Stegostoma tigrinum: one gene and its partner. The protein of the gene in region 2 purifies or fractionates together with the protein of the main gene of each other region. This does not show direct contact. Links are inferred from orthologs where the notes say so. Each region holds a gene or a part of one and is shown on either strand. Other genes may lie near its edges.

Region 1 (15,989 bases), on a different chromosome or scaffold from region 2:
AGATTCAGACAGGCAAGTTTGATTTAATTGAGATGATCGGTGGTATGCATGAAGGTAGTGCAGTTGACATCAAAGCCTCCGAGAATCTCCAAAGTAGGAGACTAGAGTTCACACCATACGAGATCCAGGGTAACAGTTAGCTTAGTGGTAGGAGATCGATTGGTTTGAGTGTGGCGGCCAGAGTATGGTGGGGTAGCACAAGGGTCAGTGCAGGATCCCTTCTTGTTGATGTAGATACAATCAAGAAAAAAATGGGAGGAATAAATCTTAGGTTAGCAGATAAAGTTTGGCTAAGTGGTCAACAATGGAGGGGTGGTGCCTTAGGTTACAGAAGGATAAAATAGCTTGGTCAGATCAGCAGATTGAATTTAATCTTGGAGTGCACAAGGTGATGCACTGGAATTAACAGCATACTCAATAGCATGGAGCAGTTTAGAAGCAAAGAAAGGCTGGATAATCTCACTGTTAAGAATAGAAAAGAAAGAGACCTGATACAGCATACCAGATTGAGGAGCAAGGACAAGGGGAATAGAAAGCACCTGTTCCTTCAGTCGAAGGATTGATAACAAGGGGGCAGACACACAAGGTGAATCGCAGGGGGTTTGAGGAGGATTGCGATTTTATTTCACCCAGGAGGGCGCCAGCAATCTGGAATGCACAGCCCAAAGGGGCAATTGAGGCACAAAACCTGAATATTTACTAAGCACCTGAACAAACTTGAAGGATCAAAACATTCAAGACACTGGGCAAAGTGGGACCAGTATAGACATGGACTCAAGTGCCTTTTCTGTACTGTATGGGTACAAGTCCATACAAGCTATCAAACAGGCTACAACGTGAAATCCTGCAGCATATCATTTACTCACCCACCGTAACGTTAAGTTTCACCTCAAATGTATGCACTTAGACCACAAACTACTGTTTCATCTTGTTTGCCTAAGCAAACACCAAATTCTGCACAAGCAAATCTCTGCAGTTGCAACAGAAATTTACAAAATACAACCACAAAATTCAGCCAATGAAGTCAATTTCAACATTCAGGCCTGATAGTCAAACAATTTTTACTGAAAGCAATGAAAGTTTAAGGGAAAATATAACACTGCTAATGTTACTTTATCCAAACAGATCAGGGATTTGTACTTGCCACCTCAGTTCAGCTGTACAGGAGGTTCTGCTATAACGTGTTCTGACAACACAAATTGACTGTAATGCAACTGACAAATAGGGGAATGCTATTTCTTCAACACAAACTTGTGTTGGCTATAGCAATTCCATCAATTGGGCATCTTGATGTCAAGAGTCCTTTGCTAATGGTATGTAGTGTAGACGTCATCAGGAGCTTGCTGGAAGGACACAAGCAGTTATAATAGTCAGGGGTGACACTGTCTATAGTTTACTGTCATCCACCACTCAGGCTGGCATCACGTGGCTTCTTGTGGGTCTACTGTTACTGCTGCTCTTCTCTCCTCACCCCACTTTTTGAAAAGCCCTTCAAGCAATCTCCAGGTTGGTGATAGTTGAGACATACCTTAAATTCCATTTACCACTTTGCTCCATTACCTTAACTGTAAAATTCTCATCCTTATCAAATCCTCAAGTCTTAGCTCAATTTGTAATCTCAAACAATTGAGCAATTTGCTGAAAGAAGTGTTTTTTTCAAGTCCAGCCTCTTGCACACCTGATTTTCGTTGCTCCACCACACTTTCTTTATTCACTGCAGTCCAACCCCCAAAATTTCCATTTCTTAGTAACCCTTCTGTCTTTCCAAAGATTCCTGAAACTGACTGATCATCAGCTATCCTCATCTGGCTTGGCACAGATTCTTGTTTAATATACAAGACTAACTGTTTGCATCATCCCAAAACCCCAGAAGGAGCAAACATCCTCAGTAAGGAAAGGAATACCTGATGTGCCAGCTCATTACATAAAGGGTTGTAGGAGTGTGGCAGAATTTTGAGCTCAGTCTCACAATCCATCAGATTGTTTAGAGACTCTCATGCGAGTCTTGGATAAGGACATGGAGGATTGTAAAATGCAGGATATACAAGGTAGATTGATCTTACTAGGATAATAGGGCAACACAACATTGTGGTCCAAAGAGCCTGTACTATGTTGTAATGTTCTATGTTCAATGATTTCAAACAGCTGTTAAGAACCGAGTTGGACCAACCTGTCCAAACAGCTGTTGACAACAGTACTATCCTTTGTTACCTTTTTTGGTGGTCCGTCCACCCTGCCACCGCCCCACACACATCATTCCTCCCCCCACCTTTCCCACTGGCTCGATTTTATATGACATGAAGTTGCACTGGAATGTAACTATCTAATTAAAGCAGAATCCCCTGTAAAAAGGACATTAAGAGTGAATTAGTGAATAAGTATCAAATCGCTGAAGCTGGCAATGACCAGCCAAAATCAAATTTGCAGAAGCTCACTTGCTTAATAGGTCAGCCATCTACCTTCATTAATCAGGTTCAATATTCTGTAGGAGTCAGCATAACACTTAATTCTTTGCGACACAATAAGTGAGCATTTAACACAAGTCAAAGTGAGAGGACAGCTCAAAAGTACTCTGACCTCAGCAGTTCTGGCTACTTGAAGCAGACTAAGTGATAAGCTTGCCAATCTTTTCTGAATGATCAATTTAAACTTACAAAGCTCTTCCTCAATAATTCAATGAAGTATAATAGGAAGCTTTAAAAAAATCCATTCAAATATATTGTTTTTGTTTTATAAAAGTACACAGGCTTTTCAGCAGCCAATTGCAGATGCTTAAATTGAGATTTGTTTGCTCAATAGTTGGAAACATGCTTACCTTGTCATCTTCAACTACACACTGAATCTGTAGCTTTTTGATGCCATAACCCACAGGAACCAGTTTGGCTAGAATGGAAAAGTAGTTATTAGAGAATTTAAAAAGCTACCATCCTTCCTAGTTTCAGATTTAGGAAGGACAAAGAAACAACCCTCAAAAGCAGAAGTCTTTATGCCATAACAATATGCCAAGATACAAAAATGTCACTATTACACTTTTACTGAGAACTTTACCCAAGATGGCCAAATGAAATTTGGCATATTACTCATGTACATAACAGCAGTTTGCGATCAGAATGATAGACGCTGCTTCCTGATGCTATACCAAGCCAACAATCCATTTGTCTACTTAGTAATTCTGCAGTTTTCCAAAACTGGAAAAATATCCGCAAAGTGACTTGGGTTGGCCTCAAGACCTGAACTTATCACTATCTAGGTCATTACAGAATATTGCAAGCAGTCTGGCCATTATGTAAAGTAATAATACTCACAGGCACCCCAAAGTAAGCCGTCCATAGTCACTGAACGGACACACTCTTCCATTTTGATCATGTCAGTTTCATCATCCCATGGCTTCACATCCAACAAAATAGATGATTTAGCAATAAGTGCTGGCTCTAAAAAAAACCGACAAGATCATGTCATGAGTGTGATCATTTATTAGAACATCAGCCTGCAATTACATGCAGTTATACAAAGGACTTGCCATACCACTGTATACCTCAGTGTTCCAGTTCTCCACAAACTCCTTACCTACAAAGCTGGAATCCTCTGAGTGGGTAATTTCTCAATAAAAAACACTGGTTTTGTCAGATTCAATTAATTCACATCACTGATTCAGTCGAAAGATGGTGAATTGAAATCATCATTAAAACCACTGCATTTCACAGCATTCATTTACTTAATGCTGATTCCTTGCAACTGCATTACAGAACATGATACATTAGGAATGAAACAAACTGAAGAACTGGTGTTGTTGTTCATCTATTATAGTATTTGCACAGCTGAACGTCTCCACATTCAACACACTTGACCCATAATAGGACATATCATACTAGGTTAAGGAGAATTTTAAACAAGTTGATAAAACATTAAGCACTCTTTACTAGAGATCACTAAACTTTGAAGTGACACTACATACTTTTGGACTTCTTAGCTTCATATTGGGCTAGACGTTCTTCTTTAAGCCTTTTAGCCTCTGCACTTTCCTGCAAGAAATAGATACAAGAAACTGTCAACTACACTTGTGGAACAATGTAGTAAAATATAGTTCTGACACTGCTTTCTCCTTACAGATGCTGACTTTTTGCCAGCAATTTGTTTCAGATCTCCAGCATCTGCAATTTTAATCAGATACAGTAGGGTATTCATTGGAGAAAGCATAACCACAAAATCAGCCAAAGGATGACAAATGTAAAATCAAAAACAAGCGCCAGATGCTTGGAAATCATAAACAAACCAAGCCATTCTAAATTCAGTAACCTCCGATTTGGAACCAAATCAGTTTCTCAGGCTGCCAGCAACCCCAATTTTATAGATAAATCTTTTTCAGCTGGTCACAATTGGATACTCCACAATCCTAGAGACAGAACAAACTTGGCTTCATTGTCTCAGCCACTAGTTTTTGAACAAATTCTGCAAATTTACAACAGTTATAAGCTGCTTTTGAAGTTAGTACAGTTACAGATACTTGGTGCCTCCACCATGCAGGAGGAGGTGTTTGAGGGCAAGTAATGTATCAAAGCTGAAGTCTTTCAAATTTGTATTTTTGAATTCAAGCATACTTGAAAACAGTTACCAAAGTTTTCACGAGACTACAGAAAAAACATCCTTCAACTTTATCTCAATTCAGGCCAGGAGGGTTTAAGCAAGTACAAAGAGCTTCACTGAACCTACCTCTTCATCATCAGATCCAAAGAGATCAATGTCATTGTCGTCATCATTGTCATCCACAGCTTTTGCTGTTGTTGTATCTGCTACATTTTGTGGACCATATTTACTAAGGGGCTGCTTAACACCTGGAAGGCTAAGAATGGCTTAGAGTCAGAAATGCAAATAGGCAAGCAAACATCAGTATTTAGAACTTCAGAAGTAGTGACAGGATTTCCCACTTCTGCAGCCCAGCAAATTAATGCTGAAACACAAACAGTACAAATCTTGAAATTTCATTTGATACAAAATCTGCTCTATTACAACCCCCATGATCTTGTCTTATCTACAAGACACTGTTGGTTTTGGAGTTGCAACCATTCTACCTCAAGTTAAAATTTCAATGAAGCCTTTAGAAATGAAGCTACTTTCCAGGTCAAGGGATTGCTGCTAATTTTGGAAACTTTCTGGAATCTTTCTGGAATTGGAATTCTCCAACTGGAAAATGAAATTGGCATCTAACTCAAGCCTGCACTATAAATCAAGACATTTGGAAAACAATTAAATAGAAATAATCACTACACAAAAAAAAGCATAAATCCACAGATTTTATATACAGCTCTGATGCAATGACTAGGCCATTAAAATCACTGGTTTGTGGCCTCAAAAGTTATGCTCTTCAAAGAGATAGAGTCGAGGGTGGCCTACAGAGATCCAAAGTTTACACCATGGATCTAGATCAACAACTCGTGTATATTATGTAACACCTGCTGTCACTGCGTGTGGAAGGTCAAGATGATACAGCTCATCTACTGATGGATCTCAATGGCAGTTGCCATGGCATGGGAACTATAAACCACAAGTCTCTGTTTCAGAGATGCAATATTTGACTAAAAACAGATCGAAGTTAATTTAAGAGATGGTAGGAACTGCAGATGCGGGAGAATCTGATTTAACAAGGTGTAGAGCCAGGTGAACACAGCAGGCCAAGCAGCAGAGGAGCAGCTTTCCAGCTCTACACCGCTTTATCAAAGTTAATTCAAGTTCACTTTTTGTCAAATGACTTGCAAGACTGGTATAGACTACACAATGAAACTGCAATCATCCACACAATGCAGGTCATCCATGATGACAGCAATCAGTTTAATTTAGACACAAAAGCAGCCACATTGCATTTGATAATCAGTAATGCAGGTTTTTCCTTGAAGTGATCGACCAATGAAGTGTAAACACATTAGTATCAGTCTTTTGGGGGTACAGCTTGAAGTTGTCCCAAGATAAACTCAAGGGAAACTTTGGTCATTGAGTTTTGAAGTAGACAGGGTCAGAACAGGAGAAAGCAGAGAGCACAACCACTGATTTGGAGGCAGATCTAACCATAGTCAGGGTGGAAGAAATGAGTGGCCTAAGGATGTGGAGAGAGTCTGGACGCATGAAGAAATTAAGGCTGTTGGGCGACTGATCAACTTAGGTGAGCAACCAGATGATGAGAAATAAAAACATGAAAAATGAAATAAAGATCGTAGATACTGGAAATTTTAAACAAAAAGAAACTGCTGGGGAAAGTCAGATCTGGCAGCATCTGTAGAAAAAGCATAGAGCCTGGGGATTGTTCTGCACGTGCATCTCGGAACGGATTTCTTTCTGCAGATGCTGCCACACTTGTAGTGTTTTGCCAACTGTTCATTATTTTAAATGGCATCTTCTTTGGCAGGCATCAAGACATCAACGGCAACAAATGTGCTAAGAGGGGGGTCCTGTTTGCATACCGAACGTTTCGATCGTCAGCAAGCCCCATCTTCAAAATGAGACAGAGGCTAGCTGAATGTTCTTTGAAAGAGCCAGCACAAGCTTAGACCAAAAGAGCTCAAAATGATACATTATATGGCTTACAACAATTCAGTAGGTATGTTTGACTAATGAGATGATTAACTCAAGCAAATCATTCTCAGCTTGAAAGTGAACAGTTATCACAAGGTCATGTGAATTGTCAGTTAGAATGGACATTTCAAGTCCACAAGATGTTTAACAGACCTCATAACAGGAACATTCACCTCCGTGCAGATCAAAGGAAATGACACCCTCAACAGCCAGCCTGCATGAATGACCAAATATACTACTGCACAACTTGAACAGCATTCCCCTGGATGATCTAACAGACATCAAAAAGGTCAAGTTATTAACCACACTGCAGCTGTTTTATCTTCCCAATAGTTACACAGGCTGTAACCATAAATAGTGGGACTCAGTAGGTGTCAAACAGCTCATATCAAACATAACATACCAAGCCTTGGTGCTTTCATAGGATTGGATATGGTTGTACCAGCGAAGTGCATGGTGGAAGTCAGCTGATGGTGGAGCATCAAGAGCTTCAAACACAGCTATATCAGCTTGTGACGGAACATACCTATAACAAATTAGGAATTACTTTACAAAATCAAACAACATTGCCCCACAGACACACACAACTACTACTGCAAACAAAGTGAACCATCATGTCGAAGAGCTGAACTTAAAAGAAAACAAGAGAGATAAATAAAACAAAACCTCATCTCGGGTGTTTGGAGAAATAGGGAATGGACAGCTGGGATGGGATTTGGGAGGAAAAAAAGTAGGAGACAGTCCAAGGGTGTTAGGAAGTGTCCTAGGGCAGGGGAAGACAGTAAGCAAGAGCGGTATATTTTGGGAGGGTATAGAAATCGAAAAGTCAGATGGGGGCATGACAGCCCATAGCATTGAGATAAAATGGGGAGGGTGAAAGAGAAGCAAGAAGAAATTTACCCAGAAAAGATGCCAATACAGCAGCGGGTAGACGAAGGGAAAGGGTAATGGAGGGCGGAGAATCGGGTGAAGAAAAACACGCCTGAGGATTGGGGCAGGGAAGAGCAAAAAAAAGGGGTGGGGGCGCGACGGAAGAAGGGCAACGGCTAAGACACGATCAGAAGTAACTTTCAGCTGTAACGCGTCCCAAGGAAGCGTGCCGAGGGCGTGAAGGGTCGACGTGGTGAACAGTCCGAATCGGGTCGCCTACTAGCCTAGATCCTTATCCAGCTGGCGGCGTGAGGGCCTCAGGCCGGCATGTGCCAACATCAGCCCCCTCCCCCTCCAACCGATCCCGTCCATCCTCAAGAGCGGCCTTACCCACCCCTCGATGTAGCTCCGGTCCGCCAGGTAGTCGTTCAGCACCTGGAGGCCGGAGGGAGATTTGAGATCGCCGAATCCCATGTCCAAGAGAGAGGTAGAGAATAGTGGGGTGGTAGGTGACGGGCAGGCCGGTGGACTTTGCAGCTCCTAAACTCCGATTGCTTCGCCACCGCGAGCGGCAGCCGTTACAAAAAGGGCGACCGACCACGCGCGCCGCCTTTATATCCTCGCCGGAAAGAGGGTCGGGGGGGCGGAGCCTAAAAAAAACAAGAAAATAATCCAAAACAAACACGACCACCCTCCCGCAACCGAACACATTTTTGAAATTAAAGTTAAGCTGCGACGGGCTCGCCTCGGGAAAGTTCACGTCGACTTTTGGGAGGGGGAGGGTGGAGACGGAAATAGCCGAAGCCTGTGTTTTTTAAAAGGAAACCCACCCCACGCAACCAACACCCGATTTTATTTACGCGTTTCCTTACGGTTATAAAGCTGAGTTGCGGCAGGAGGAGAGGAAGGGGAATGTTAAATCGGGAACGTTGTGATTTTGCGGGTTTTTTTCCGACGACGCCCGTCTTTCCGGAGATTGCCGAGTGGTGGTCGGATGGAGCCGAGTCCGAGCCGCCATTGCACCGCTGTTCTGGTTGGGGAGGCTAAATAGCGAAACGAGTGTTGCTGGTGGCAGAGAGCAACGTCTGATATTGGCTACTCTTGTCTGTGATTAACTGAGGTAGTTGGTGTGCTCGGTGGAATAATTTCGCGACCCTGTTCTGGTGTCTGTCGGTTGCAGACCCAGGTTTGTGGGCTTTGCCCTTGAGCAGAATCTTTGAGTTTTGCCTGAGAGGTTTGTGAACCGTCTGACTCTCCTCTCTGCGTGTGAGTGTTGGTCAGGTTGAACTGACAGTTTTAATGCGACGCTGTTTGTAAACACAGTCTTTCTTTCCCCAACACTTCCACCCGTCCTTTTTTTAAAAAAAATATGATTTAACCTACCTTGTTCTCTTATTTCCCCGTCAGTAGCTAATGATTTCATTCTGCATTGTGTTGAAATCAAGGTGTGTAGACTGAGCTATGATTTCCAGTATTTTTTTTTTGTTTTCTGTACCGATTCCAGCATCTACAGTAGTTTGCGGCTGAACACACTGAGACTAATTGGCTGTAGGACTGTTGAAGAGTCACTGGACCCGAAACATTAACTTTTTTTCTCACAGATGCTGCCAGACCTGCTGAACTTTTCCAGCAACTTCTGTTTTTGTTCGAAACGTTATCACTTGGTTTCCCTCCAAAGATGCTACCGTATCTGCTGAGTTTCTCCGGCAGTTTGTTTGTTTTTGTTTCTGGCTTACGTCGTGCACAGTTGTTTGTCTTTTTTGTGTGAGTAGATGCTGCCCAAAGCCATCCCACAATAACAACAGATATCCTCAGAATCTTCCTTGTCATCTCAAATGTCAGGTTGAAGCCTCCCATTCAGAACCTTGAGTGACAAATCAATCGCGTTTTTTAAAGGCTGTGATTTTTTTCTGCTGAAACCACAAGCTGTCTGCTACTGGGTAGACTTAAAAACTTCCTTCAAATATTTTGAAGAGTAACGAAATTATCCCTGTTTCTTGCTGAATGTGTTGTGTTTGCTTAACTAGCTTCACAGTGTTGTTTCTGTGACCTTGCTGTGTAAACATTTGTGGTGTTTCCTACACAAGAACAGTAACAATTTTAGGAATGTTTTCTTCAATGTTAAAACACTTTCACATGATGTGATAGATGCTATCATAAAATTTATTTTTGCTGCCATTATTCTCTGAAATGCATGGTGAATTTAATGCCTTTGGTTGATATAGCTTTTTTTTATTCGTTTGGGGATGTGGTTTTGATTAGCAAGGTTAATATTTATTGCCATCCCTATTTGTCCTTGCAAAACTGGTGGTGATCTGTTTTCTTGAACTGCTGTAGTTATTGTGTGGTTTAGGAGGAGGTTTTGGGATTTAGACCTCCATAGCACTCACCAAGGAATGGTGATTATATTTTGAATTCAGGATGGTGAGTGCTATGGGTGAAAACTTGCAGGTGGTGATGTTACATTCATCTGCTCCCTTTCCTAGAGAAGCAGCTGCCGTCATTGGTTTGGCAGGTGCTGTCGAGGCAGATTTGGTGAGTTGCTGCAGTTGGGATCGGCTCTGAAACAATATTGGTGTTTTTGTGGAGGATACCTGCAATCAACATCACTTGATTCCTTCTAAGCTACCAGTTCAATCCTTGGTGCAATATCTCACTTTTGCCTCACTGTGAAATCAGTGTTCCTTTTGTTGCCATATAAAATTGCTCTATATGGGATTGTCTTAAACTCCTGCACATCTTCACTTGTATTGTTTATTTGATCCTAAGCACCTAGTGATAAGGTTCTAAGCGCACATTTCACTAAACATCCACTTACAGGCCGTGAACTGGCTAATCACAAATGCAAGTATAGTATATCAATGACTAAAAATAGGAATTTGACTTACCTGCCATGTATATCCCGAAACGTGATTTTTGGGGCTAGAGAAACGTGACCATGTTGTGCTGAATCAATGCTAAGTTCTGCAATTTTGTAGAATCGGTAGTGAATGTTTTCAAATTGACCATTTTTCATGAAATGGTAGCTAAAGGGTGCAATCTGGCCTAACATGCTTCAGCCATCATATGTTGCTTCAGTTTAGTGCAAAACCCTGCATAAGATAACATATATTGTTAATTATAAGCTGGGCATTCTGTAATTTTGAATGCTAATATCCTCAGACTGACGCAGAATAATATTTGAGTTGTTTCAGTAGATCACCCCAGTGTTTCATCAATAATCAGTGTCCACAGATTAGAGCAAGCAGGCTTGCTATCTTTTGGTGATGTACTGAATCTTGGCATCTTCAGATCCTGATTGTTCAAGGTTTTTGTTGCTGACAGAATCAGCTTGGTGAGAGTGGCAGAAAGGTGGCTGAGAATCTTCAAATATTGCTGTTCCTTCAGTGTCACTGGGTCAAAATCCTGCAATTCTCTCCCAAATAGCACTATGGGTCTATCAGCACCAAATGAACTATAGCAGTTCAAGAAGGCAGATCATCATCACTTTCTCAAGGGTGACTATGTACAAACAATGAATGATGGCCCAACCAGTGCCATCCATGTCCCTTAAGTGAATTGAAAAAAATGCCAAGTTTCTCACAGCTCAGATTTCAACCTTGAGCAACAAAGGAAACATACTTCCACTTATGATCCTAACCTCAAAAAGGATAACTTCGATCAAGAATTCCTGAATGGGGGCTTTATATTAATTTTTCTGTTCTAGTATAGAACAGCCTGAGCAACACTTGTGACCATTAAGTGAACTCTTGCTGTTTATGCAGGTCTCAATCATGCTGCGATTACCTGTGCTTCGCAAGGCGTTAACAGGTGTTTCCCAATCTGCCAAAGATATCCTGGGAACAAAGAATAATGGTATGAAAACTACTGTGATCAACAATACAGCTGATCTTAAAAGAATTTCATGCACACATTTACAAGGGTACAATAAAATGATCACTTTTTTTGTCATGCTTGTGCTAAAAATGAATGAGAGCTAATTTCTTATTGATTTGCCCTCTGGATTTTGGCTTTTCTGACCTGACCAAGTTTATTGACAGCCCTTGTTTCCTATGAGAAGATAGCAATCAGCAGTTATAAGTACTGGGCTTGCTGGGAGCCATCAGTGAGCTTTTAGTGTCACCATATTCTATGGGTCTGCATCATGTTTAGCTGGCAAGGTCTGAATTGCATCAGTGAAATGTCTACATTTTGAAAACAATCCTTTCATGATGCCTTAATTTCAATATATGGGGAGAATGTTGATTCCTTATTTTCCTTTTTTCTGTCTCATTCTGTTGCAGTATAAGTTTAACAGCACTGAAAGCCCCACACGGTCGAATACTTCTCAACTCTTGATTATGCCCTTTTCCTGCTTCCATATTGCATAATCTTTTGCAAAGCAGCCACCCTCTGTTTTCCACCCTCACCTTCCATGACAAATTTTTGAATTATAATATTACCATTCCTGGGAGTTACAGCATGTGTAGAACGTAATGAGTTTCTTCCATCAAGTGACCAAAGGAGCTTCTCGTTGAAGTGTCACATCAAAGGAAATTATCTCCAATGTGCATCTCTAGTCTTTAGATATTCAGATTTGATATACTTAACCTGTATCTTTGTACATTTTGTCCACTTTGCCACACCACAACACGCCATAGCCCTGCCCACCCCAACCCAAGCTCAGTCACTGGCAGTGACCTTGTTTGGAAAATACCGCTCGAGTAACAGAAACCAAATGGATTATTCATTTGCGCACTGCAATCCCAAAATGACACTTTGTAAAGTTATTTTATTCGTGTCTTTGTAAAAATTTTCTTGCTGGTACAACAAAATCATTGGTAAACTTCCTTATTTTACTTTTCAGCTCGCAGCACTGCTACAGCAGCGAGCAACCTGGTTGAAGTGTTTATTGATGGCAAGCAGGTGATGGTGGAGCCTGGAACCACTGTTCTGCAGGTACAGTTGCGAACCTAAGCATTGTGAATTTAGGCCTAGGTCGTGCTGGAAAGGATTAAAAAGAGATTCCTGCAGACATTTACTTCAGCGGAATAGGAAAGTCAGAAACAAGTAAAATTGCACGTGGATCAATCTTTGGACATTCAGCATAATGCCAGTATTTATTACTGTTGTTTAATCTTGTGTTCCTAGAGTTTCTGAACTGCAGAATCTTGCAATCCACAAATAGGACCCAGTTGGCTGGGCTTTGACTAGATTAATGGGGGCAAAAGTACTGTATGTTACCTATAGGTTGAAATGTGGATACTCTTTCTGCAATAAGTGGGAGATAGTCACATGTCAAGCTGTGCTTATGGCACAAAAATAGATGTCATTGTAAATGGAAGTGTAAAATTACAGCGATATTGATGAACTAACTATAAGCAAAAGTGTAATAAGAGTTTTGATATAGATTAGTGCGAGAAAATCCACTTTGGAAATAAAAAGGATAGGTCTCCATACTCTTTTCATGAAACACTAGACACAGTGAAGATCCATATACCCAGTCTGTCACAATGCCATGGACATGTACAGAAAATAATCAAGGAAGCCAATGGAATTATCAGTTTTGTATTGAGAGGGTGTCAATATAAGAGGAAAATTTGTGTTTCAACAACACTACATTAGAACATAAAACAGTACAGGCCCTCTGGCCCATGATGTTGTGCCAAACTTTTACCTTAACGCTAAGGCCTATTTAACCTCCACCCTTACCTTATACTATTGTCCACATGCCTATCTATTAACCGCTTAAATGCCCCTAATGAGGCCGACTCCACTACCCTCTCCGGCAGTGCATTCCACACCCCTACCACTGTCTCGGTGAAGAACTTGCCTCTGCCTCCCCTGTATCTACCTCCACTCACTTTAAAACTATGCACCCTCATAACAGTTGCCTCCACCCTCAGAAAAAGTCTCTGGCTGTCTACCCTGTCTATACCTCCGATCATTTTGCACACCTCTATCAAGTCACCTCTCATCCTTCGTCATTCTAAAGAGAAAAGCCTTAGCTCTCTCAATCTTTCCTCGTAAGACCTTCCCTCCATTCCAGGCAACATCTTAGTAAATCTCTGCACCTTTTCCAACGCCTCCACATCTTTCCTGTAATGAGGCGAACAGAACTGGACACAATACTCCAGATGTGACCAAACCAGGCTTTTGGATAGCTGTCGCAGTTTTAGTTAATAAACATCAGGAGTGCTGTGTTAATTTCTGGACACTCCACCTTTGGATAGATATGTTGGTTTTAGTTGGATTATGATTTAGGTTTACCAGAATTATGCTGGATTCCCATGGATTAAATTATGACAGGTTGCATAAACCAGGATAGTATCCTCTCATGTTGCAAAATTTGAAGGGAGATGTGATTGAAATTTTCAAGGCCAGAGGTCACTGACACCATGTTATAGTCCAGCAGGTTATTTCACCTGATGAAGGAGCAGCGCTTCAGAAGCTTCTGATTTGAAATAAACCTGTTGAGCCATAACCTGGTGTCATGCGACTGGTACCCCCACATGACGAAATTTTCAAAAAAGAGAAACAGAGTTTTTCTCTATCTATCCTATTTTGGCTGGTTTTGGAGGTTTTAAGATATGGAGCAGAGACTAAAAATAGAGTTACGTATAAGATCTCGACCGATTATGATATGTCTTTTGCGATTAACTGACAATACAAGCTTAGTTCACTTGGCTGGTTTGCAATGCAGAGTGACACCAACAGTATGGGCTCAATTCCCACTGGCTGAGGTTACTATGAGGACCTTCCTTCTCAACCACTCCCTTACCTGGGGCGTGGTGACCCTCAGGTTAAACCACATCAGTCATCTCTCTGTAATGAGAGTGCAACATGTTGTCCTGTAGGACTAGAGCAGCTTTACCTTTAACTCTGTGCCGCATAACATTATCCAGGTATCCATCAACTCATTAGGTAACAAAATGAAGAGCTGGATGAACACAACAGGCCAAGCAGCATCAGAGGAGAAGGAAAGCTCAAACCTAGACCCTGTTATCTCAGATTCTCCAGCATCTGCAGTTCCTACTATCTCTGAAACAACTCGTTAGATAAACAGTTTTCCCTATTTAAACAAGAAAACATGCCTATGAAAAGTAAATTATTTATTTGTTTTCCATTTTGTGATCAATCCATTTGTCTCTTCTGATCACAGGCCTGTGAAAAAGTTGGCATACAGATCCCTCGGTTTTGTTACCATGACAGATTGTCCGTTGCTGGGAATTGTCGAATGTGCCTGGTGGAAATTGAAAAAGCTCCTAAGGTAATAAAAGTGTTAGTGCTTTCTGATGGATTTTCAATTGGGTGAATATGCTGGACGAGATGGGCAATAGAAAGTGATGGGTAGGGAAATAAATTCCATTGTCATAAAATTGAATACTTACTTCAGTAAGAGGATTTTTGTGCCTGGGAAACGATGATCTTCCTACAGGAAAACAGTAGTGAGTCAACTGAGAAATAGAGTGCAATCAACATTGTACAATGCCATTCAACACCTCCCTCTGACTGACTCTGTCTTTTTTTTATTCCTCCTTACCCCTCATGACGGAATACTTTCTTTACTTGCCAACACTTAAAATGCAGAATTGTCCCCTCTGTTGATAATGTGCTGTTGGAGGTGGGACACTGCACACTTTTTACAAAGAAAAGAGTATCAATTTAAAACATGTTCATGTTCCTGAAAAGTAAAAGATAATTTATTTCAGAAATTACAACTAACTTCCAAAACAGGTCAACAACAAGACCCCCTTCTTAAAAAGGGATTAAATAAAAAATACTACAGGGTTTGAATCTCCCTGATCAAACCATAAATATTGAAGAGGCAATTATGAATAATTATATTATGTCCATATGAGTTACTTTCTGATTTAACATATTGCTGTTATTTTGATAATTTAACTGAGTGCCAATTAGGTTTGCTTTTCTTTTTAGCCTGTAGCTGCCTGTGCTATGCCTGTGATGAAAGGGTGGAATATTCTTACCAACTCGGAGAAAAGCAAGAAAGCCAGGTATAGTATGTTACCAGCAAAAATGACCTCCGTTCCCATTATTCTAAATTCCCAAGACTTGGAAAAATAAAGAATAAAAAATAAACTTGTTACCTTACCAATCAGGCACACAGAACCTTTTTTTGGTTAGAGGAGGAGGATGGGTGGGAGACACTACCCGGGTAGTGTTTCAGGTAACGCAGCCACACAAATATATTACCTCATTCACTCACCAGTAATTCTGGGCAGCTTGTTTAAGGCAGGATGTTAAGGAAGGAGTTCAAAGGAGATTTGCTAGAATTATACTAGGAATGAAGAATTTTCAGCACAAGGACAGATTAGAGAGATTGGGCTTACTCTCCTTGTGCAGCAAAGATTAAGAGATGGATTTATTGAGGATTGGGTTAACTCTGCTTGGATCAGAAGATCAAGGAGTGACCTTATTGAAGTTCTCAAAATTATGAGCCGTTTAGACAGGGTAAAGAAGGATATCTGTTTCCACTATTTGGCCCATCAGTAACTGGGGATCACAATTGCAAAACTGTTGGCAAGAGAGCTTGGAGTGAGATCATGAGGAACTTA
Region 2 (16,435 bases):
TCCCCACCGGCCCTTTTGACATTTGTACATATATACACAGATCCCCACCGGGCCTTTGGTTACATTTGTACATATATACACAGATCCCCACCGGCCCTTTGGTTACATTTGTACATATATACACAAGTCCCCACCGGGCCTTTGGTTACATTTGTACATATATACACAGGTCCCCACCGGGCCTTTGGGTACATTTGTACGTATATACACAGATCCCCACCGGGCCTTTGGTTACATTTGTACATATATACACAGATCCCCACCGGCCCTTTGGTTACATTTGTACATATATACACAGATCCCCACTGGGCCTTTGGGTACATTTGTACATATATACACAGATCCCCACCAGGCCTTTGGTTACATTTGTACATATATACACAGATCCCCACTGGGCCTTTGGGTACATTTGTACATATATACACAGATCCCCACCAGGCCTTTGGGTACATTTGTACATATATACACAGGTCCCCACCGGGCCTTTGGGTACATTTGTACATATATACACAGAACCCCACTGGCCCTTTGGATACATTTGTACATATATACACAGATCCCCGCCGGCCCTTTGGTTACATTTGTACATGGCTGATATGATTCTCCCTTTCTCCTACCTTCTCCCCGTATATCACCACAACTTAACTTTAACTGGCTAACTACTAAGAAATCTCACTGCAAATCAAAGACTGCATGCAGCAATCAAAATAAGAACCTTGAACAAAGTGAGTTAGGCCTTAGAACCCAATTTGGCTATTCTCCAATTCACGATGGAGTAAGGCCATTGTTCTACCAACACTAACGATGGAGTATGGCCATTATCCTACCAACAGTAATGGTGGAGTATGGCCATTATCCTACCAACAGTAACGGTGGAGTATGGCCATTATTCTACCAATAGTAACGGTGGGGTATGGCCATTATTCTACCAACAGTAACGATGGAGTATGGCCATTATTCTACCAACAGTAACGGTGGGGTATGGCCATTATTCTACCAACAGTAACGATGGAGTATGGCCATTATTCTACCAATAGTAACGGTGGGGTATGGCCATTATTCTACCAACAGTAACGGTGGAGTATGGCAATATTTCTACCCACAGTAACGCTGGAATAAGGCCATTATTCTACCCACAGTAACGCTGGAATAAGGCCATTATTCTACCAACAGTAACGCTGGAGTATGGCCATTATTCTACCAACAGTAACGGTGGAGAATGGCCATTATTCTACTAACCAAAATGGTGGAGTATGGCCATTATTCTACCAACAGCAACGATGGAGTATGGCGATTATTCTACCAAGAGTAACGATGTAGTATGGCCATTATTCTACCAACAGTAACGGTGGAGTATGGCCAATATTCAACCAACAGTAACGGTTGATTATGGGCATTATTCTACCAACAGTAATGGTGGAGTATGGCCATTATTCTGCCAACAGAAACTGTGGAGTATGGTCATTATTCCACCAACAGTAACGGTGGAGTAATGCCATCATTCTACCCACATTAACGGTAAAGTATGGCCATTATTCTACCAACAGTAACGATGTAGTATGGCCATTATTCTACCAACAGTAACGATGGAGGGTGTCCATTATTCTACCAACATTAATAACCGAAATAACTGATGATGCCTTAATTCCGGATCAAAAACAAAGTTGCTGGAAAATTTCAGCAGGTCTGGCAGCATCTGTGAAGGAAAAAACAGTGTTCACGTTTCTGGTCCGATCACCCTTCCTCAGAATGGAGTCACTAGACCCGCATTCTGTTTTTATCTTCACAGATGCTGCCAGATCTGCTGGGCTTTTCCAGCAACTTTGTTTTTGTTTTACCAACAGTGTCTGTCTCTGGATTGCCCAGGCTTTGATGTTGTGCAGTGTTATTCTTTGAGGTTCTGCTAAAGTCGGTGTTCTGGTGTCTGAATCTTACACAGACATTCACCTTTCAGGTCCAGAATGTGATATTATTGATTATCAGAGGTGTATTCATTGTTCCTTGTTACATTTGGCATGAATTGTCTGTTTGAAAACACAGATTACCTGCAGTTAACGCCTTCAATTCTTCTGCATGGCAATCCCTGTCCTTGTGTTATAAAGCAAGTAGTTATCAAGCAGGCCTTAAAGCAGTTTTTTTCACTTGGCTTAAACTCCCTCTTTTTCCAGATGTGGCCAAATGCTTTCAATTCCCGTATAAGTTTGTTCTTGTCCCTTAATGGTTTATACCAGACCAAGTTATTGCTGCTTCTTTCCCTGTGTAACAGTTCATCTTTTGTTTGATTCATTCTTTCCATGAACAGTTATTAAAGTTCAGAAGCCTACACTGTCACAGCTGTGGATGAGGTCAGTGAGATGCTCGAATCAATCACTAACTGGGATATTGGTGGAGTTGTGTGATGATGCTGTGGCTTAAAAAAGTTACTTTGTCATGGTTTTTATTTTGAAGAGAGGTTTTAAGGCAGAGGTGGGATGAGCAGTCTATGAGAAGACAAACAGATCATGAAGCTTTGAATGATTTTTTTAAAAGGCTGTAACAATAGAAGCAGCCTGAATGGGCGTGATGAAGCTCCCAAGAAATGAAAGCTATTTTTCTCTCTCTTGGTTATAGCCACAAGCTGGGGGTTCCCTGCATTCTACATGAGTTGCATGTGAGACTATCTGTGTCTTGAATTCGCCTTTTGCCAAGAGCTAGTTCATGGGATTGGAACTGTTAATTAGTAATAGTTACTGTATATATTACACTGTTAAGCTTTCCAATAGAGTTAAAGTTATACCAATTCTTCTTTCCTTTGCTTGTATTAAACTATAAGGGAACAATAAAGTGTGTTTTGCTTAATCCAATCAAATTACATCTGTAACACAGCAACTTAAATCTACCTTTAAATAATGCCAGACAGACACAAGGGACTGAATGACCTGTTCCTAGGTTCCTAATTCTGCTCAGGTGACAGATTCCCTTGAACTGAATTGAAAATTCTGTTCTCCTTCCTGGAGATAAGACAGTCCTCTTCTCAACTGAGCTGGAGATTTAACTAAACTGAAATCAACAAGTTGATATTTTTGTTTTGCATGTTATGGACCAGATCAAATACCCCCTTAACTATACCAAGGACGTAATCCAGATCCAAACTTTTATCTCATTTAAAGGCAAGTGTAAGGTGCTTTGTTCCAAACATAATTCAATCTGTATTGGAACGGTTAATTACTAATAGTTTCTGCATTTATTTTCTGTTAAGTTTTCTAGTGGAGCTAAGTTATTCCAAGTCCTTCTTTCTTTTGTTGTATTTTAGCTATATTGAATGAATGATGTGTGTTTTGCTCTAAATCCAGTAGTTCTACCAATTGAATTGCATCTGAAATGCAACACCTTACACTTCCTTTAAAATAAGAATGTGGAGTTTGCATGTTCTCCCTATGTCTGAGAGAGGATGGTGCTGGACTTCATCCAAGTGATCTGCTATCCTGACACAATCGAAAGATGTACAGGTTAGGTGGATCGGCCGTGGCAACTGTAGGATTATAGGGATAGGGTGGGTGGGCGGTTGTCTTTGGGTCTGGTAAGATGTTCTTTGGAGGTTGGTCCAGATACAATGGGCCAAATGGTCTCTTTTTACACTGTAGGGTTTGTATGATTTCCCCAGATGTCAGTGCTTAGGCCACGGCTCTGTGTGGCAGTGTAAAGTTGATTTGATTTATTATTGTCACTTGTACCAGATATTGTGAAAAATATTGCTTTGCATGCTATACAGACAAATCATACCTTACATAAGTACATCAGGGTAAATAGAGCAGATTGCAGAATATAGTGTTACAGCTACAGAGGAGGTGCAGAAAAAGATCAGCTTTGATATATGAGAGATCCATACAGAAGTCTGAAAACAGCAGGGAAGAAGCTGTTCTTGAATCTGTTGGTGTATGTTTTCAAACTTTTGCATCTTATGTTTGAAGGATGTGAGTGGAAGAGAGTAGAACATGGGTGGGAAGGGTCTTTGATTTGGTTGGTTGCTTTCCCGAAGCATTAGGAAGTGTAGAGGGAATCAATGGGAGGAAGGCTGTGTTCACAACTCTCTGCAGTTTCTAACGGTCTTGGGCACAGAGTTGCCAAACCAAGCTGTGATGGCATTGGGATAGAATACTTTCTATGGCGCATCTATAGAAATTAGCAAGAGACAGTGTGGACAGGCTGAATTTCCTTAGCCTTCTGAGGACATCGAGGTGAGAATGTGCTTTCTTGACTGTAGAATTGATGTGGATGGCTCAGGATAAATTGTTGGTGATATTCACCACCTCAGTACCATTGACACAGACAGGGGCTTGTCCTCAACTCCACTTCCTCAATCAATGGTGCTGAGGTCATGGTGTTTGAGAGCATCTCCAACACCCCTGTTTTCAGAGCTTGTCTTCTCATTAAACCCTACTAATGGCAAAACGGCACCCCTATTTTACAATGGGAGTCAAACAGGTGGCTTTCAGCCAATCTGTCTGAACCAATACCCCTTCCAATAAAGACCATGGGGCTGCAGTGTACTCCCTCAGCAGTAGAAGTCACTGTTTCATTAAGAGATAACAAGATGTGGAGGTGAATGAACACAGCAGGCCAAGCAGTAGTGGAGGAGCAGGAAAGCTGACATTTCGGGTCTGGACCCTTCTTCAGAAAAGGACCAGAAAATGTTCAGACCCAAAATGTCAGCTCCTCTGATGCTGCTTGGCCTGCTGTGTACATCCAGCTCCAGACTTTGTTACCTCAGATTCTCCAACATCGCCAGTTTCTGCTGTGACTGTTTTATTAAGCCGATTTTAGCTCATTTCTGTGTCTGCTGGGCAGACGTGTGGGTACCGTAATGCTATGTATTTTATTGTTTAAAAATGCAATGAGCAAACATTTGGGCACTCAAAGACTTCTGTGCAGTCAGCAAGTTTTCGGTTGAGGATGCCATTCACAATGGGATCTCACTGTACATAGTTTGCTCAAATGTTGCAGTGCAGAGTAAAGACTTCAAAATTTGCCAATAATACTACGTTTGGAATTGGGCCAAAGCTGTGCGGATGATCGCACTGAAGAGCCACAGGATAGAGAGGCAAGCAGAATGGGTGGATAAATGGTGAATGTAAGAATTTAGAGCAGGAGTAGGCTGCTCAAGTCTGTTCTGCCATTCAATAGGATCGTGGCTGATCTTTTCAGGGACTCAGGTCCACTTACCCACCCACTCATCCTAATCCTTAATTCCTTTACCATTCAAAAATCTACCTTTGCTTTAAAAGCATTCAGTGACAAAGCCTCCACCTCTTTACAGGACAGGGAATTCCACAGATTCACACCCCTTTGGGGAAAGAAATTCTGCCTCAGCTCAGTGCTAAATCTGCTCCCTCTCATTTTGAGACTATGCGCCTCCCCCCCCCCCCCCCCCCCCCGCCACCCCATTTCTTGTTTCACCCACCAGTGGAAACAGCCTCCCTGGTCCTATCAGGTGGATACAATTTATTTTGGAGAAGCGTGACTATGAGCGGCCTGTTCCACAGGGTTCAGTGCTGGCTGCACTTTTGTTTGTCATTTACATTAATGCATTGTAGAATATAGAAAGCATCTCTAGTAAATGTGTGGAGGGCACCAGGATTGATGGTATCGTGGACAGTGTAGTGGAATCTTGATCAATTGGGTCAATGGGCTGAGGACTGGTAGATGGAGTTTGATTTGGATAAATACCAGTATTGCATTTTAGTAAAACAAACAAAGATAAGGCTTATACAATTAAAAATAGGGCCTTGGGTAGTGTTGTAGACAAAGAGATCTAGGGGTTCAGGTGCATAAGTCTTTGAAGTTTGCATCACACGCAGACAGAGCGTCTAAGAAGAGGTTTAGCACACTTACCTTCATTGCTCAGAGCTTTGAGATTACAATTGGGGTGTCATGTTAAGATTGTCCTGGATGTTGGTGAGGCCTCTTCTGGAGTACGGTGTCAACTTCTGATCTTTCTGTTATGGGAAGGATGTTATTAAGCTGGGGAGGGCTCAGAAGAGATTTACCAGGAAGTTGCTGGGAATGAAGCGTTTGAATTATAAGTAGAGGCTGGATAATCTGGGACTTTTCTCACTGGGGCGAAGGCGATTGATGGGTGACCTTAAGGAAGTTTTTAAAATAATAAGTAGTGTAGATAAATCAGAATGGTGAGTGTCTTTTCCCTAGGGAGGGGGGATTTCCAGACTAGGGGGTACAGTAGCTCAGTGGTTAGCACTGCAGCCTCACAGCACCAGGGACCCAGGTTTGATCCCACCCTCGGGTGACTGTGCAGAGTTTGCACGTTTTCTCCGTGTTTGCGTGGGTTTCCTTCAAGTGTTCCGGTTTCCTCCCACAGCCCAAAGATGTGCAGGTTAGATGGTTTGGCCATACTGAATTGCCCACACATCTGTAGGTTAGGTGGACTAGCCATGGGCAATGCAGGGCTACAGAGATGGGATGGGGCGTGGGTCTGGGCAGGATGCTTTTCATTTGTGTGGACTCCATGAGCTGAATGGCCTGCTTCCACACAGTAATGGATTCTATAGTGGGTATAATTTTAAGGTGAGAGGAGAAAAATTTTAAAAAGACACGAGGGGACTTTTTTTTTGCCCAGCGAGTGCTTCGTGTGTGGAATAATTTTCCAGGGGAAATAGTGGATGTGTGTATAGTTGCAACATTTAAGAGACATTTGGATAAGTACATGAATAGGAAAGGTTTGGAGGGATATGGGCCAGGAGCAGGCAGGTGGGGCTAGTTTAGTTTGGGATTATGATTGGCATGGGCTGGTTGGACCGAAGGGTCTGTTTCCGTGCTGTGTGACTATATATAAGTGTGAGGCTACAGTCATGAAGGTGCATTTATTTAATATGTTAATTTGTAATATGGAAGCATTGATAGTATTGGGGCTGGCCAGGCCTGAAAGCAGCGTAAAACGGCTGGGAAGATTTTTAGCTGAAGCAGTAGTTTGTTTAGTTTGACATTTAAACTTCAACTATGAGCTGTGGTAATCGCAGTGTCTGGCGCTGGAATACATCCAAGGTACAAGATTAATGCAGTCCACAACAGGGCCGTGCACTCAAAACAGAAAGGGTGGTGTTGAGTAGCTGCTGCCTCTGTTTGTACAGAAATAGATGGATAAGGAACGTCTTTGAGGATGCTGATTGAAAATCCTATACTACGTTTGTTCAAAGTCTGGGATTCAGCCCAGGGTAGGAAGGAAGGGCACAATGCGGAGGTGTTCTGCAAAGCGGTCCCCAAGCCTCCACTTATCCCAGGCCCCAAGATGACTTTCCATATTAAGCAGAGGTTCATCTGCACATCTACCAATGTGGTATACTGTATCCATTGCACCCAGTGTGGCTTCCTCTACATTGGGGAAACCAAGCGGAGGCTTGGGGACCGCTTTGCAGAACACCTCCGCTCGGTTCGCAACAAACAACTGCACCTCACAGTCCTAAACCATTTCAACTCCCCTTCCCATTCTTTAGATGACACGTCCATCATGGGCCTCCTGCAGTGCCACAATGATGCCACCCGAAGGTTGCAGGAACAGCAACTCATATTCCGCTTGGGAACCCTGCAGCCCAATGGTATCAATGTGGACTTCACAAGCTTCAAAATCTCCCCTTCCCCCACCGCATCCCAAAACCAGCCCAGTTCGTTCCCCCCGACACTGCACCACACAACCAGCCCAGCTCTTCCCCTCGACCCAGTGCATCCCAAAACCAGCCCAGCCTGTCTCTGCCTCCCTAACCTGTTCTTCCTCTCACCCATCCCTTCCTCCCAACCCAAGCCGCACCTTCATTTCCTACCTACTAACCTCATTCCACCTCCTTGACATGTCCGTCCTCCCTGGACTGCCCTATCCCCTCCCTACCTCCCCACCTATACTCTCCCCTCCACCTATCTTCTTTTCTCTCCATCTTCGGTCCACCTCCCCCTCTCTCCCTATTTATTCCAGAACCCTCTCCCCATCCCCCTCTCTGATGAAGGGTCTAGGCCCGAAACGTCAGCTTTTGTGCTTGAGATGCTGCTGGGCCTGCTGTGTTCATCCAGCTTCACACTTTACTATCGGGAATGATGGCTGGATATGAGGGGAAATGTGAATAATGTAGAGATGATAGAATTTGTGGTTAGCACTGCTGCCTCACAGCATCGGGGACTTAAATTTGATCCCACCCTCGGACAACTGTCTGTGCAAAGTTTGTACGTACTCCCCATGTCTGCATGGGTTTCCTCTCACACTGCAAAGGTGTGCAGGTGAGGGTGGGATTGGCCATGCTAAATTGTCCCATAGTGCCCAGGGATGTGCGGGTTAGGGTGGGATTGGCCGTGCTAAATTGTCCCATGGTGCCCAGGGATGTGCAGGTTAGGGTGGGATTGGCCGTGCTAAATTGTCCCGTAGTGCCCAGGGATGTGCAGGTTAGGGTGGATTGGCCGTGCTAAATTGCCCCATAGTGCCCAGGGATGTGCAGGTTAGGGTGGGATTGGCTGTGCTAAATTGTCCCATAGTGCCCAGGGATGTGCAGGTTAGGGTGGATTGGCCGTGCTAAATTGTCCCATAGTGCCCAGGGATGTGCAGGTTAGGGTGGATTGGCCGTGCTAAATTGTCCCATAGTGCCCAGGGATGTGCAGGTTAGGGTGGGTTGGCCGTGCTAAATTGTCCCATAGTGCCCAGGGATGTGCAGGCTAAGGTGGACTGGCCGTGCTAAATTGTCCCATAGTGCCCAGGGATGTGCGGGTTAGGGTGGGTTGGCCGTGCTAAATTGTCCCATAGTGCCCAGGGATGTGCGGGTTAGGGTGGATTGGCCGTGCTAAATTGTCCCATAGTGCCCAGGGATGTGCAGGTTAGGGTGGATTGGCAAACTAAATGCCCCGTGATGTCCAGGATGTGCATACCATTTGGATTAGCTGTGTGAAATAGAGGGTCACACGGATAGGGCAGGGTGTTTACATCTGGGTGGGATGTTCTTCGGAAGACGGGTTTGTACTCTGGGCTGAATGACCTGCTTCCACACTGCAGGGATTCTATGAATCCAAATGTTAAGAATATCGACGTATCACTCCTGGGTTGTCTGGGAATTATTTGGTGCATACAGGAAATGACTTTCCAATAAAAGAGGGAATAAACAGCTGCCACCATAAACTAATGTTAGATGACCTCCAGGTCTCCTCCCTGCCTGAATTACAGGTACCGCAACAGGAGAAGATTTGAGGATGAAGAATCTGCCGGGACTGTGGAGTCTTGCATTAATATCCGGAAGCATGGGACCAATATTGGAAAGAGCAAATGAGGAAGTACAACCGATGGATCGAAGGGAGACTTTAAGGACTATGGGCTTTATTTGCTCTGTCAGATGGGACATGTTACACCGGGGGGAATAGACGATGATAATGCATAGCTTGTGGTCGATTTCGGTAAGGGACATTAAGTGTGTGCGGTGTTCTACAGGCAGCCTGTTGAATGTGTGTCAGAAAAGGTGTTAAAATGACAGTTTTATGCACTTTTGGAGTCTTTTGTTCCCCTCCCCATGTTCAGTGGACTACAGAGAAGGGGGTGGGAAATAGTGTGTAGATATTATGAATATGTAGGGGTGCCAGTAATATCATTACATGTCTGTTTTCACCGCACTCCTACCACCCCCACCTCCGAGAAGCGGGAGGGAGGATGGGAGGGGGGACAGAGAGGAGGGGGAGAGAGGGAGAGTTGGGAGTCGGGAAAGGGGGTTGCGGTGTGTCAGTGAGCTGCTCCTTGTGCAGTTTGTATTGGATTGTTCCGCAGTTACCAGCAGAGGGACTCCTCAATGCGGATATTACAGAGCAGGAAGCTCCCTCCCACCACCCCCTGTCTCTCTCTCTCTGTCCTCACGCCGGCCTGGGCCGAGGGAGTCTATTCTACCCGGGGAGCTGCGGCCAGGACAAGAAGGTTCGTAACCTCGCCCTGGCTGGGGGCTGGGGGCTGGGGGCTGGGGACAGAGACAGAGACAGAGCCAGAGCTGCATTTAGCGGCAGCAGAGGGAGCAAGAAAGAGCCATGTGTCATTTTATAAAAGTGATACTGGTGAGGGATTGGGGGGAGTCTCAGAGTGGGGCAGGGACAGAGGGAGGGGAGTAGGGGATGGCAGGGACAGAGGGAGGGGAGTAGGGGGTGGCAGGGACAGAGGAAGGGAGGAATGAGAGGATGGGCAGGGGAGAGGGAAGAGAGAGAGATGGTGGGGGTTGTCGGGGAGAGAGTGATCCAGGCGCTCCCGTGCTGGGAGGGCCTGCCTCCCCCACCCCGAGCCTCGGGTTAATCCACCGCCGCTCTTGTACCACCCAGTCCCGGGCTCTGAGCTGACCCTCTCCCGCTCAGTACCAGCACCGCTGGCTGGGGCTTTAGCTTTCATTTACCTTATTGCACCCTTTTTTTTGCTGCTTTGATTTTGCTTATTGCGCCTTGCTGGCCCTGGGAGGTGAGTGTATCTCTACCTCTTAATTCCCTGCCTGTCTGTGCCCTGAGAGCTGATGCAACCGGCTGTAACTTTGCAGCACATGCTAAAATACTTTATCAAGCTGTGGGTCTGCTTCTTTCACATCTGTCTGCAGAACACCACCCGCTCCCTCCCCCTCCTTCTTTATTTTCTTCCCAGCCCCTGATTGCCCCTCGGGCTGAATGCCTTGTTGGGAGAGTCAGTCCCATTTGCTGGTCACAGATTTCCTCACCTAAATACCATCCATGTTGTATACTGTTTTTGTTGTTTGCAGTACAGATGCTCATCTGCAGTCATTTGCTCCTCTTTAAACAGCTGCATGGATGGTGGAACCTGGAACCCCCAGACTTTCTAGGCTCAAACTGCCAACAGGTCCCCCACCCCCATCATCCCCACTTTGTACTTTTATAAATATTTCTATCATTTTACTTAAATTAAGGAGGGATTTGAACCCTAGTCGCTAGTGCATTTGGATTTTCAATCCAGTGAAATTACCACCAAGCCACCATCTCTATCTCTCTCTCTCTCTCTCTATCCTCCTTCCCCCCCACCCGCCCCAAAACATGCGTATTAAACACAGCAGGCCGGGCAGTATCAGAGGAGCAGGAAAGCTGACGTTTCAGGTTTACACCCTTCATCTGATGCTGCCTGGCCTGCTGTGTGTTCCTCCAGCTCCACGCTCTGTTATCCCATTTTGAAATGCTGTTGGCGGTGGAGCAGTATTTATTTTCTAATGAACCTGCTCAAGGATGTTGACTTAGACATGCATTGCCAGGCTCAAGAGCAGCTTCTTCCCCACTGTCAGTCTGAACAAACTCCTCAAATTGCAAATTTAATGTTGACTCCACCCTTTGTGCACCTTCTTAACTTTGCATTCCTTGCTCTGGATGTGAGTTTGCTCGCTGAGCTGGAAGGTTAGTTTTCAGACATTTTGTCACTTTTTTTTAATTTGAAAAAATATACTTTATTCATAGAATGTACAAAAAATAAAACATTTATACACCTACTCAGTCATGCAAGGCACTCCGGGTTACCCAGGGGGTACGTACACCAACTAAAGGCAAAAACAAAACAGAGAAAAAAAAAACAAATCAAAGAAAATACCGCGGCAGTCGTCACCCCGCACAGTCCCCGTTGGCCCTCTGACCAGTTGGGGAAGGCGCCAGCTGGGCCCAGTTACCAGATAGGGTTCTTTTCCCTTTTCTGGATGAGGGGGCTCATACGGTGGTCTTTCCCCACCGCGCCCTGGCGGCGGCTGCCCCAAACTTTAGTGCGTCCCTCAGCACGTAGCCCTGGACCTTGGAGTGCGCCAGTCTGCACCACTCGGTCGGGGTCAGTTCTTTCAGCTGGCAGACCAGCAAGTTGCGGGCAGACCAAAGAGCGTCTTTCACCGCATTGATGGTCCTCCAGGCGCAGTTGACATTGGTCTCGGTGTGCGTCCCCGGAAACAGCCCGTAGAGCACGGAGTCCCGGGTCACGGAGCTGCTCGGGACGAACCTCGACAAATACCACTGCATCCCCCTCCAGACCTCTTGCGCGTAGGCACACTCCAGAAGGAGGTGATCAACAGTCTCGTCCCCTCCGCAGCCACCTCGAGGGCAGCGTGCGGTGGCGCAGAGATTCCGGGCATGCCTAAAGGATCTCACTGGCAGAGCCCCTCTCACCGCCAGCCAAGCAATGTCCTTGTGCTTGTTTGAAAGTTCTGGCGATGAGGCATTCTGCCAAACGACTTTGGCAGTCTGCATGGGGAACCACACGACGGGATCCACCCTCTCCTTTTCCCGAAGGGCCCTAAGGATACTACGTGCTGACCACTGCCTGACGGCCTTGTGGTCAAAGGTGTTTCCTTTCAAAAATTTCTCCACGAAGGACAGGTGGTACGGGACGGTCCAACTACTCGGAGCGTTCCACGGCAACGAGGCCAGGCCCATCCTTCGCAACACCGGGGACAGGTGGAACCTCAGTAAGTAGTGACACTTGGTGTTTGCGTACTGAGGATCTACGCACAGCTTGATGCAGCCGCACACAAAGGTAGCCGTCAGGGCAAGGGTGGCGTTCGGTACGCCCTTTCCCCCATTTTCCAGGTCTTTGTACATGGTGTCCCTGCGGACCCGGTCCATCCTCGACCCCCAAATGAAGTGGAAGATGGCCCGGGTGACCGCAGCGGCGCAGGTCCAGGGAATAGGCCAGGCCTGCGCCACATACAACAGTACCGAAAGCCCCTCGCACCTGACAACCAGGTTCTTACGCGCGATGGAGGGGGACCGGAGCGTCCACCTGCCCAGCTTCTGCTTCAATTTGGTGATATGCTCCTCCCAAGTCTTAGTGCACGCCCCAGCTCCACCAAACCAAACACCCGGCACCTTCAGGTCGTCTGTCCTGACGGTGAAGGGGATGAAGGAGCAGTCGTCCCAGTTCCCGAAGAACATGACCTCGCTCTTACCCCTATTGACTTTGGCACCCGAGGCCAGTTCAAACTGGCCGCAGATGTCCAATAGTCTACTCACCGACCGACGATCGGTGCAGAAGACGGCGACGTCGTCCATGTACAGGGAGGTCTTGACCTGAAGGTCTCCGCTGCCTGGGATAGTCACGCCCTTCAGGCTCACGTCCTTCCTGATGGAGGCAGCGAAGGGCTCCACACAGCCCACGAACAAGGCAGGAGAGAGCGGGCAGCCCTGCCTGACTCCAGATCTAACAGGAAAACTGTCTGATTCCCACCCGTTGATCGAGACTGCGCTAACGATGTTGGCGTAGAGCAGCCGGATCCAATTGCGGATGCCCTCCCCGAACCCCAATTTGGAGAGGACGTCCCTCATGTAAGCATGAGAGACCCTGTCGAAGGCCTTCTCCTGGTCCAGGCTGACGAGGCAGGTGTCCACCCGCCTGTCCTGCACGTAGGCGATCGTATCCCTGATGAGCGCGAGGCTCTCAGCGATCTTCCTGCCCGGCACAGCACAGGTTTGGACAGGGTGAATCACCGACTCCAGGACAGACCTGACCCGGTTGGCTATGGCCTTGGCCAGGATTTTGTAGTCCACGTTCAAAAGTGAAATGGGACGCCAATTCTTAATTTCTTCCCTCCCTCCCCCCCCCCCCTTCCTCTTGTAAATGAGGGTGATGATGCCCTTCCTCATGGACTTGCACATTTCCCCTGCCCGAAGTGCACTATCGTACACCTCCAGCAGGTCCTGGCCAACCAGGTCCCACAGAGTGGAATACAGCTCGACCGGTAAGCCGTCGCTCCCGGGAGTCTTACTCCCCTCCAAGAACTTAAGGGCTCTGGTCAGCTCGTCCAGGGATATCGGCCGGTCCAGCCACTCCCTCGTGCCGTCGTCTAAGACCTCCGTGATAGACGACAGGAACGACTTGGAGGCCGTGCTGTCCGTGGGCTTCGTGTCGTACAGTCCGGCATAGAAGGATCTGCTGATCCTCAAAATGTCGGGCCGAGACGACGTCACCGAGCCGTCGTCCTCCTTCAGCCGGCTAAGCACAGAGCTCTCTTTGTGCACCTTCTGAAAGAAGAAACGCAAGCACGTCTCGTCCTGCTCCACGGAGCGGACCCTGGACCGAAGATTATCCTGGAGGCCTCTGCGGCGAAGAGCGAGGCTTGCTGGCCCCTCACCTCGCGGAGGTCCTCCGTGACATCGACCCCCATCAAATGCAGAAGGAGCAGGTTCTGCACCCTTTTCTGGAGTCGCGACAGCTTTCCCCGCCTCTCTCTCGCCTTCCGAACACCCTTGAGGACAAAGAACCTCTCGATGTTCTCCTTCACCGTCTCCCACCAGTCGCCCGGAGACTCAAAGAGGGTTTCACGGTTCTCCAACCGGCGTACTCCCTCTTAAGCTCCTCGACGTTCTCTGGGGTCAACAGAGTCGTGTTGAGCTTCCACGTCCCCTTGCCGGCCGGCTGGTCGTCCTGTAAGTGACAGTCGGCCAGCAGGAGGCCGTATCCCGCACTCCTGCAGAAACAGGAGGTCAGAGAAGAACACCAGCTCGACGCCGCTGGACCTGACCGAGAACGTCCGTGACACAAACAGGAAGTCTATCCTTGAGCGAATAGACCCGTCTGGCCACGACCAGATGTATCTCCGCTGCACTCCGTCTGCAGGGGTGCTGAAGACGTCGAACAGCTTGGCGTCCTTCACCGTGCCCATCAGGAATCTGGACGTGACGTCCAGTTGACTCCCCCCACCCGCTGTCCCCACGCCGGATCTTCCATCTGCATCAATGACGCAGTTGAAGTCTCCGCCTAGGATGACCAGGCCTGGATGTAGCCAGCAGGAATGGAAGCCACTGCAGGACGGCCAACTGCTCACTCCGTACCGCTGGGGCATACACGTTGATCAGCCTCAGGGGAGCGTTCCTATAGGTGATGTCAGCCACTAGGAGGCGCCCCCCCAACCACCTCCTGAACTTGAGAGATGGTGAAGTTGCGCCCCCGCAGCAGAATAGCCAGATCCAAGGAGCTACAGTCATTACCCCCGACCAGATCGAAGGCCCACAGGTCCAGGCGCCGGACCATTTCCCGTACCTGCCGAGGTGCGGTATCCCGCACTCCTGCAGAAACAGGAGGTCCGCCTTGATGGTGGTCAGGTAGGCCAACGTGGACACGCATCTTGCGGTTGACTTGACACTGCGCACATTAATGCTCACAACTCGTACCCCCATTGTGGGCAGTGACCGCAGTACCCTCCCCAAGTCCAAGGTCCAGCCCCTCCATCTGTCCCTTCGTGCCCATTGCCCGGGCTAACTGCTGGACGCTCTCTGGGCTCAGGAAACTGTCCGTGCTGCCTTCTGGATGGCATCCCCCCGTCAGGGGTGCGGAGGCAGGAGGGTCCGGCTCCAGGTCAGGCTGGGGACGTGCTGTTTCCTCCTTCCCGCCTGGAAGTTCCGGGGGGCCCTCCAGTGCTCCAGCGGCACTTGACTGGGTGTCGGAGTGAGCCTCAGGATGCCTCCCGTCACCTGGAAGCGGGGTGCTGCTTTCCTTCCCCCTCGAGACCTTTAACTTCTGCTTCGGGTGGGCCCTCTCTGAATCCCCCTCGTCAGAGGAGCTCTTATAGCCCCCCTGTAGCTGCCTCTTCCCGCCTGATGGTTGCGGTTCCTGGGCCCGTCGACGCACCTTCCTCCTCGCTTTCCGGACTGTTGTCCACTCCCCTGGGTCGCCTGTCGCCGCCTCCATTGGCTCCGGGTTGTCGGGGGGGATCAGAGCCTGCAGGGGCGCTTTACTGGCCTCGGGCCCATCCTGCGGGGCTGGGCCCTCCTGCACGGCCTGGCCCTCCTGCACATTAGTGGGGTCCTTGCTGGGCCCTGGTGCCTTCCTCTCCTCCGGGGGGGGGGGGCTGGCCCTGCATTGCCCCTGCCGGCGACCTGGGCGTAGGTGGTCCCCTGGCACGGGCATGCCCTATAGAGGTGGCCCGCTTCCCCGCAAAGGTTGCAGCTTTTCTCTCGTGGGCAATCCTTTGCAAGGTGTCCCTCCTCCCTGCAGTTCCTGCAGATGGTGGCTTTGCAGTCGGCCGCCACGTGACCTGACCTACCACAGGCATGGCAGCCTTTGGGTTGCCCTGCGTAGGTCAGGTAGCCCTTGCTCCCGCCGATCGCGAAGCTGGACGGTGGGTGTATGACATCCCCGTCTGCGCCCATCCTCAGCGTCACCTTGACCTGCCTCTTACTCGTCCAGATGCCAAAGGGGTCCATGATGTCAGTTAGGTCCCCTTCCACCTTCACATACCTTCCGAGGAAGGTCAGGACATCAACTGCTGGCACATGCGGGTTGTACATATGTACAGTCACCATACGGCCCCTCTCCGCTGGCATCACAAACAGTGGGACAGCGGTCAATACAGAGAGGGGTCCCTCACCTCCTTTCTCCTTGAAAACCTCCAGGAAGCGCTCGCAAAGCTTGGCACTCCTGAAGGTCACATCGTAAAAACCTCCTCCGGGGAAATCCTGCAGGCAGTAAATGTCC

What was found.
Region 1: the proteins of vars1 (region 2) and eef1b2 fractionate together in Homo sapiens (co-fractionation; 3 studies listed by BioGRID, with this or other methods). This does not show direct contact. The link is inferred for Stegostoma tigrinum from reciprocal best matches to the Homo sapiens genes VARS1 and EEF1B2.

What each region holds. Positions count from the first base shown.
Region 1 is NC_081360.1:12,908,568-12,924,556, forward strand, and holds the start of eef1b2 (elongation factor 1-beta), read right to left. Parts: upstream 8,027-15,989; 5' UTR 7,909-8,026; coding exon 7,829-7,908; intron 7,091-7,828; coding exon 6,968-7,090; intron 4,841-6,967; coding exon 4,711-4,840; intron 4,023-4,710; coding exon 3,956-4,022; intron 3,432-3,955; coding exon 3,306-3,431; intron 2,884-3,305; coding exon 2,816-2,883; intron 1-2,815. Other genes in the region: ndufs1 (NADH-ubiquinone oxidoreductase 75 kDa subunit, mitochondrial), read left to right, coding at 11,193-11,289, 12,281-12,372, 14,576-14,683, 15,352-15,428. UniProt on the Homo sapiens protein: Catalytic subunit of the guanine nucleotide exchange factor (GEF) (eEF1B subcomplex) of the eukaryotic elongation factor 1 complex (eEF1).
Region 2 is NC_081387.1:26,732,170-26,748,604, forward strand, and holds the start of vars1 (valine--tRNA ligase), read left to right. Parts: upstream 1-9,815; 5' UTR 9,816-9,925; intron 9,926-16,435. Other genes in the region: histone H2B-like, read left to right, coding at 2,813-2,823. UniProt on the Homo sapiens protein: Catalyzes the attachment of valine to tRNA(Val).